2 linked regions of the Macaca fascicularis genome follow. Each later gene encodes a partner of the first gene's protein in a complex. Links are inferred from orthologs where the notes say so. Each region holds a gene or a part of one and is shown on either strand. Other genes may lie near its edges.

Region 1 (3,818 bases):
TTAACAAATTATGAAATAATAAATATTAAAGGATAACTCAACAAGTATATCAGAACATATGACTTTAGTACCATTCAAAGCTTTTGTAGGCTTTACTTATTTAACCTAAGCTTTCATATCTCCAAAGCATCTTTGGGACTACTCTTGACATTGATTTTAGGGCTAGGTTGAGATACTACTATGAACTTCATTTTTAAAATTACACGTTTCCAATAAAGTAAAAAGTTGGTAGAGATTGGTCATACAACTTATTACCAAACTTGTCTCTAATGACATATAGCTATTTCAGAAAGTAGATCTAATGGTAAAGGATAAAGTATTTCCATCAGTGAAAATACTTCATATGATATAGGCCATCGAGGCAGCCCTGAGAAGTGGATACTTGGTCATGAATAGCACTGATAAATGCTAGAGTGTCAGAGTGTGTCAGAATGATTTTGGCAAGTTTAACAGTTACAAATTATATTACCTTGTCATCATCCATTTATGTCAGTGATAAACTGTGCTATTTTCATAATTTCTGATATTCTAAAAGTGTTTAGCATAAATCCCTTGCTATACTTGCTGCGATGAAGATGATTTCAGTGGGACATGCTAAAATGGTAAATATTAGCAACTTAGTATTTATTTTTTAGGTGTTTTTCTGATATGTGACTTTTTATATGAATATGGGTATGCTTTTTTCTTATGCAAATAAAATGTTTTTACTTGGACTAATTAGTAAAAGAATAATGAAAATGTAAAATTTATCCATTTTAGAATGCACTTTGAAAATATTTATTGTGGCAGCACTATGAAATACTGGTTATAAGACATGTAGAATAGTACTTCTACAATTTTTTTGTGATAGCCTTAAAAGTATTTAGAATATCAAATATAATTTTGATTTGCAGATTTCCTTTGAAAAAATGTATTGCTGACATGTTTGAAATTAAACTTTCTTACATAAATCTTCATTGTTTTAGTTTCTTTTTGGAAGTACTGGATTTAGCTTATAAATTATATAAGTATATAAAGTAAGTATAGTGTATTGTTACAATTTTCTTCTTTTCTTTTTCAGGCTCAAACTGCTTTTTCTGCAAACCCTGCCAATCCAGCAATTTTGTCAGAAGCTTCTGCTCCTATCTCTCAAGATCGAAGTAGGTTTATACTTTGAGTTCATTCTCTGTGAACAGAAATATTGTTATCTTCTTTTGCTCAAATAAGGAATCCAAGATTTTTTTTTCTTGACAGGCTGCATAAAATTGGTAGTTAAGCTCAAATAGTTATGAATAAGAAAAAAAAGTTTACTTCAAAAAATAACCCTTTTTCTAATTAAGATAGTGAACTGTGGATATGGGGATGTATTTCATGGCTTAATGAAAATTGATTTTAGACTGACTTGTAAATCCCTAACATGTGGCTGATTCATTTATGAATGAATTATATATATGAATTCACATGTAAGAACTTTTTGAATTCACATTTAAGAACTATCATCATGCTGCTGCTGTTGAACTTTCTGAATTGTCTTCTGTCTTTCCTATGGGAGCTTCTGAAATTTCCAACCACCTCCTCTTTGGGAAGCCTCTTAAATATTGAGGCCTTTATTCATTCTCTGTATCCTGTCTTTAGTCCCTTTTTCTTCAAGGTTCAGAGGGATTCAGGACAGAGCTTCTAAATACTATGACTTAAGATACAAAATAAGTGTTAAATAAATTTTGTGGCCTGTCATTTTGTCTTACAACAGTTTATAACCTTGCCTCATAGAAAATTCATTTTAAGTCACAGATAATTTAAGTCTCATGTAGAAAAGAGCTTTTGGAAATAGTATATAACTACTACCAGGTGAAATAATGTTAATATTTAAAAATACCATTTGCAGGATTTCATTGGAATGTAGTTAAAATTACTAAAATTGATAAGACACTAAATAAATTTACAAGCTTTCAAAAAAAGATTGTTCAGAAGAATCATTCCATAGCCCTGTTTACAGAATGAGTTATAAAGTAGCTGACTTGACAAATAGATATTTTGGTCAGTTGTTCTGAATTGGTAAGTGGTATTTTTACTAAATTCCTAATCAAGTAGGTTTATTTTAAGAAACAGGAAAGGCAAGATAGTTTATTTGGAAAAGTTATTTCTACTTTTGAGTGTTTAGGAATCTGGTTGTTTCAGTTCAGATGTCTTCATATTTTATGAATTTTAAACATTTTCTGTATTTTCCATTTCTAATGGTTACAGAGATGGGGAGATGCCTTTCCAAATTGCTACTTTAAATTCATTCTAGATTTTATAACTTAAGTATAATTTCGTTAATACACAGAAGCCCATAATAAAAGAAGTTTTCATTTTGTGTATTCTGTAAGTACTTTTTAATTTATTCATTCATTCATTTACTTATTAGATCTCTATCCCAAACTATATCCGGAGCTGTCTCAATACATGGGGCTGAGTTTAAATGAAGAAGAAATACGTGCAAATGTGGCCGTGGTTTCTGGTGCACCACTTCAGGGGGTATGTACAGTGTAATTAATTTTGAATTATATAAAACCATACTTTACATATTAATATAAGCTTTCCTGTTTGTGGCTAACTCAAAAATATACAACAGCATTGAACCTCACTTCGCAGAAATTTTAGACTTCTTTTTGGATATCGTTTCTTACATAGTCTACTTCACTTTGTGCTACACGTTTTGAGTTTATTAGGATTTAGATTCAGATACCTTTTACTAGTTCATTCTCCTTTGTCTTCTGCATTTAGTCATTTACTAAGTCCTGTTGATTCTGTTTCTGTTTCTTGTATTCATTTTGTCTGTTTTTTATCCATTCTAGTCCTACTATAACCATATTCAGGGTTTCTATACTTCTAGCCTTCATTATTATAGTACTCTCTTAAATTTCCTCTAGTAACTTATTTCGATGGTACTAAGCTGTTGCTAAGTTAATCATTCTGAAATACACATATAGGTCTATCGTATCTTTGTTGCTCATAATCTTTTTTTTTGTTGTTGTTGTTGTTGTTGAGACGGAGTCTCACTCTGTCACCCAGGCTGGAGTGCAATGGTGTGATCTCAGCTCACTGCAACCTCTGCCTCTTGGGTTCAAGTGATTCTCCTGCCTTAGCCTCCCAAGTAGCTGGGACTACAAGTGCGTGCCACCATGCCCGGCTAATTATTTGTATTTTCAGTAGAGACCGGGTTTCACCATGTTGACCACACTGGTCTCAAACACCTGACTTCAGGTGATCCACCTGCCTCGACCTCCCAGAGTGCTGGGATTACAGGCATGAGCCACTGCGCCAAGCCTTTGCTCTTTAGTCTTTTAACATTCTTTTTGAAATCCAAAGCTCCATGTAATTAGACTCCATATTCTAGCTTAATTATAATGGATCTGATAACCTTTTATTAAGGTTATTGCTATGACCATAGCACTTTGTACCACTTATTATAATTGTAGTTAAATCTGTGTCTGTCTTGTTGCCATATCCCAATGCATATACAGTACCTAGCATGTATGTATTTACCAAATATTTATAGAAAACTTGTGTTAGTGGTGATGCAGTTGGGAAAACAAATAATAGTAGGTATTTTAAGAGGTTGAAAAATTGAAAAAAACATAATTGCAGATAGCTAGTTGCTTCTCCTAGGACTGGGATGACACAGGGGAGAGACTGGAGTTAGCAGAACCTAGAACCTTGAGGGAAGAGCCCCGCAGAGCTGGGACTCAGACCTCGAATGAGGGGACACTACTGGTGCCTCTGAGGGGTTGTAATGAGGCTGGTTCTGGGAGTGTCAGTAAAAGCTGCAGACTGGAACCAACTGCTACTGCCAGGGT
Region 2 (3,818 bases), on another chromosome or scaffold:
GAGCCACCACACCTGATCATAAAATTTATATTTTTAAAAAACCAAACACACATGTACTGAGTGCTTGGTGGGTGCCAAAAGCTTTGTCAGTTCAGTCCCCACAACACTGATGTACTTACTATCTTTATTATTCCCATTTTACAGATTAGAAAACTGAGGCTCAGTTCACACAGGGTGGAGGCTTGAACTCAGGACCATGTGACTCCAGAGCTAAAACTTGCGATCATTAACACCTCTCTGCACATAGGAGGGACATTTATCAGTTGTCTGGCCTGGAGGCCTTGGGCCCTTCACCCACCCCACCCCCACTGAAGCAGGGACTTGTTCTTGGTTTCCCAACTACATCTCTGCCCACTCATGCCCCCTCCCACCCCATCCCCACTTCTAAACTGCTACTTTTCTTTTCTTTCTTTCTTTTTTTTTTTTTTTTTTTTTTTGAGACAAAGGTCTCACTCTGTCACCCAGGCTGGAGTACAGTAGCATGATCTTGGTTCACTGCAGTCCCAACCTCCTAGGCTCAAGGGGATCCTCCCGCCTCAGCCTCCCAAGTAACTGGGACTCCTACAGGTGCATGCCACCACGTCTGGCCAATTTTTGTGTTTTTGTAGAGACAAGTTCTCACCATGTGGCACAGGCTGGAACTTTTCCTTTCAGAGAAAGGAAAACATTCTATGGGTCCTCTTTCGCCACCCCAACCCTGTCCTGCCACCCAGCCTACCCTCACCCCACCCCCACCATGCCCTGCAGCAAAGAGAAGAGCCCATGAGGACAGGTTCAGGCTGGAGCTCAGAAAACCCGGAGCTACCAATGACTTCAAAGCAGCACACAGCTTGTCCCCAGGGGCTCTCAGGGATGGAAAAGGTTAATCCATTACTTTTGTCTCCCCTTTTTTTGAGAAGGAGGAAGGGCATTCTAGGAAAAGTCCCACAAAAATCCAAGTCTCAAGGCATGGGCACCCTCCTGGTTGCTTAGGCCACCACTCCCTCCAGCTTTGTGCCTACGCCTGCCCACCACACCTTCCGTACCCAGATCTCCAGAGCCAGACAGCTCAAAGTCATCAGATTCCTGCCCGGGTCCCACTACATCCTCATCATCTGGTAGGGCTCCGGAGAAGTATCGGCCTTCTAGGAGGTCCTGGGGGTCGATGACCTCAGTCTCTCGGATCTAAGATAAAGAAAGGAGACACATCAGCCAACATCCCCAGTGCTCCATGACAGCCGATGCCTGAAAGCTAGTGAAGTGGGCATTCAAAAACTAAAAAGAGACCAGGCCAGGGCCTGGAGACCTGCGTCTTGGATCCCACTCTACCTCTAACTTGCCGTGTGTCCTTAAGCAAGTCTCTTTCCCATTCTGGGCAAATAAAAATAGTACATGAGGCTGGGTACTGTGGCTCACACCTGTAATCCCAACACTTTGGGAGGCTGAGGCAGGTGGATCACCTGAGGTCAGGAGTTCAAGACCAGCCTGGCCAACACGGTGAAACCCCATCTCTACCACAAATACAAAAATTAGCTGGGCGTGGTGGCTTGCACCTGTAGTCCCAGCTACTTGGGAGGCCGAGACAGGAGAATTGCTTGAACCCGGGAGGTGGAGGTTGCAGTGAGCCAGGATCGTGCCGCTGCACTCTAGCCTGAGCTATAGAGTGAGACCCCCGTCTCAAAAAAAAATAAAAATAGTAAATGAGGTAATAATCAAAGTATTAATATGGCTAGGTATCATTTACCAAGCACTTGCTGTGTGCCGGGCCCTGTTTTAATAACTCTGGAGGCATGTTATTCACTTATTTTTACAGCCGAGAGAGTCATTTTCTTTTGGTGACACAGCTGGCGGATGGAAGAGCAAGGATTGCACACACAGGGCTGCCTGACTTCAGAGCCAGGAGTCTCCATGCACAGGGCCCTGGGATGCTACACTCCAGGGCTCTGTGATGCAGGGGCAGCTGATTCACACAGGACAGGGAGTGGGCTGCTGGTTCTGGTCTTGCCCAGTCCAGGACACTTTTCCCAGCTGAGTCAGTCTGGGCCGGGACAGACAGGGCTGCCTCACGCACACCCTAAGACAGCCTCAGGTCAGGGCGCTGCCCAGACCTGATGACTCAGGAGTGCACTCCTGGATTCAGTCTTGCCTTCCAAACATCTCCCACAGATCGGCTCTGCTGGCAGCACCATGCAGACACCAAGAGGCACAATCCTCACCTTCACAGACCATCCACTCCAGTACCCATAAACGTCACTCAGCCACTACCCCATGGAGACACAGCTGATCATGACAGAGTCTCAGGTCCGCTCCCACCAAACAGCTTGCCAAAGGAAAGTGTCAAAGGTCCCGGGCAGCCCTACAGTACATCAGGTACCCTGCTCCCATCCTGCAGCTCCACGGAGTGGGAACAAAGCACCCTCAAGAGCACAGGAAGCATTTGGATGCCCATCACCCTTCCTCCAGCTTCTGGGCTCAGGCTTCTGTTTGCCCAGAGAACAGCTGCTCTGAGCAAAGTTCATTATTCTATTAATTAATTCAAACATTAAAGTGCCTAGTATTTGCCAGGAGACCTGGGGTTTTTCATTAAGTTCAATACACCATGCCCCTCCCGCTGCAAGACATTGCCATCTCCAGACCCCGTAACTGCGGGAGCTGGGAGTCTGCTTAGAATCACAGAATTCCAGGACCCAAGGAGCTCCTGTCCTCCTGTTCCACACAACTTGAATCTGAGCCTGGAACAGGGCAAGGACTTGCCCAAGGTCACACAGAGTGTTCGCTACATAACTCAGGATAGAAAGAGGTCAGGTCTCTGTTTCGGACATCCCAGCCTGTCCTTCACTCAGCTGAGACTGCCATTGACAAAGGAGGGGGTGTGAGAAGGAGCATCTGTCCCTGAGATAAGGCTACTGTCATTGCAGGAGAGGCCCAGGAAAGCTGCCTCGGAGCCACTCCTGTACTCTCCCCCTGGGCTTCCGGGGAGAGGCAGGTGGAGCCTGACCCTCATGCCCCTCTTCCACCCCCACAGTGGGAGGATGCTGGATTCTCGGAAGGGAGCGGGGTCAGGCTGCAAGAAAGGCAGTGGCCAGGAATCACTCTCTCCCCAGGGAGTGGGGAGAATCTCTGCTGAACACTTGGCACCCGTGGGGGTGGAAAGCCAGAGAGGTTAAGTCCTGGTCAGAGATGACTTCATGACTCGGGAATCAGGAGCTGCTGGGCTGCTGGTGCTGGAATTCAAGCCCCCGCATATAGCCCGTGCCTGTGGCTTTGGTTTGGCAGAGCAGGAGGAAGGCTCCCCGTGGCTGCCCAAGTGACTATACCTAAGGGCAGGGTCCCTGGGCTCCTACTTCCATCTCCTGCGGCAAATCCCCCAAGAACCCAAGTGACAGGCCTTCAACAAGCACACAGCCTCTCTAGGTCCTTTGAATAGTCCCTTTTTGCAGAGATGGAAACAAGGGCTCAGAAAAGTAAAGTCACTTGTCCAAGGTCACACGAGCAGGAAGTAGCCACACTGGACCAGAACCAAGGCATCACTCACCTGGATCTTTAACCACAAACACATAAACACACGCATGAACACATATGCACACGGGGCCACCAGCCTGCCCCAGGCTCCAAGGGAGCCCTGTTAAGTCGGTGGGGTGGGGGAGGGTCAAATCCAGTCGGGAGAAAGAAAGAATGGTACACTTTGGCCACTTGTTGACCAGGTGAAAGTCCTCAATAGGGGCTGTAGTTCCATCAGGAGATTTGTCTCAGGCTGAGAGACCTTTTCCCACTCCTCATTGCCCCTGGGAGCCACGGAATGTTGTTTATGCATCCAGCCTCTCTTCAGTATGTGAAAG

What was found.
Region 2: the proteins of SDCBP (region 1) and SDC4 are in contact, whole or in part, in a crystal structure (PDB 8BLV), measured with the Homo sapiens proteins. The link is inferred for Macaca fascicularis from reciprocal best matches to the Homo sapiens genes SDCBP and SDC4. Residues at the interface, in NP_001007068.1 of Homo sapiens: Gly207, His208, Val209, Gly210, Phe211, Ile212, Phe213, Lys214, Thr219, Val222, Asp251, Ser252, Ala255, Leu258; in NP_002990.2 of Homo sapiens: Thr193, Asn194, Glu195, Phe196, Tyr197, Ala198.

The regions. Positions count from the first base shown.
Region 1 is NC_088382.1:68,549,752-68,553,569, forward strand, and holds part of SDCBP (syntenin-1), read left to right. Parts: intron 1-1,060; coding exon 1,061-1,139; intron 1,140-2,386; coding exon 2,387-2,496; intron 2,497-3,818. UniProt on the Homo sapiens protein: Multifunctional adapter protein involved in diverse array of functions including trafficking of transmembrane proteins, neuro and immunomodulation, exosome biogenesis, and tumorigenesis.
Region 2 is NC_088384.1:101,416,292-101,420,109, forward strand, and holds part of SDC4 (syndecan-4), read right to left. Parts: intron 1,165-3,818; coding exon 1,026-1,164; intron 1-1,025. UniProt on the Homo sapiens protein: Cell surface proteoglycan which regulates exosome biogenesis in concert with SDCBP and PDCD6IP.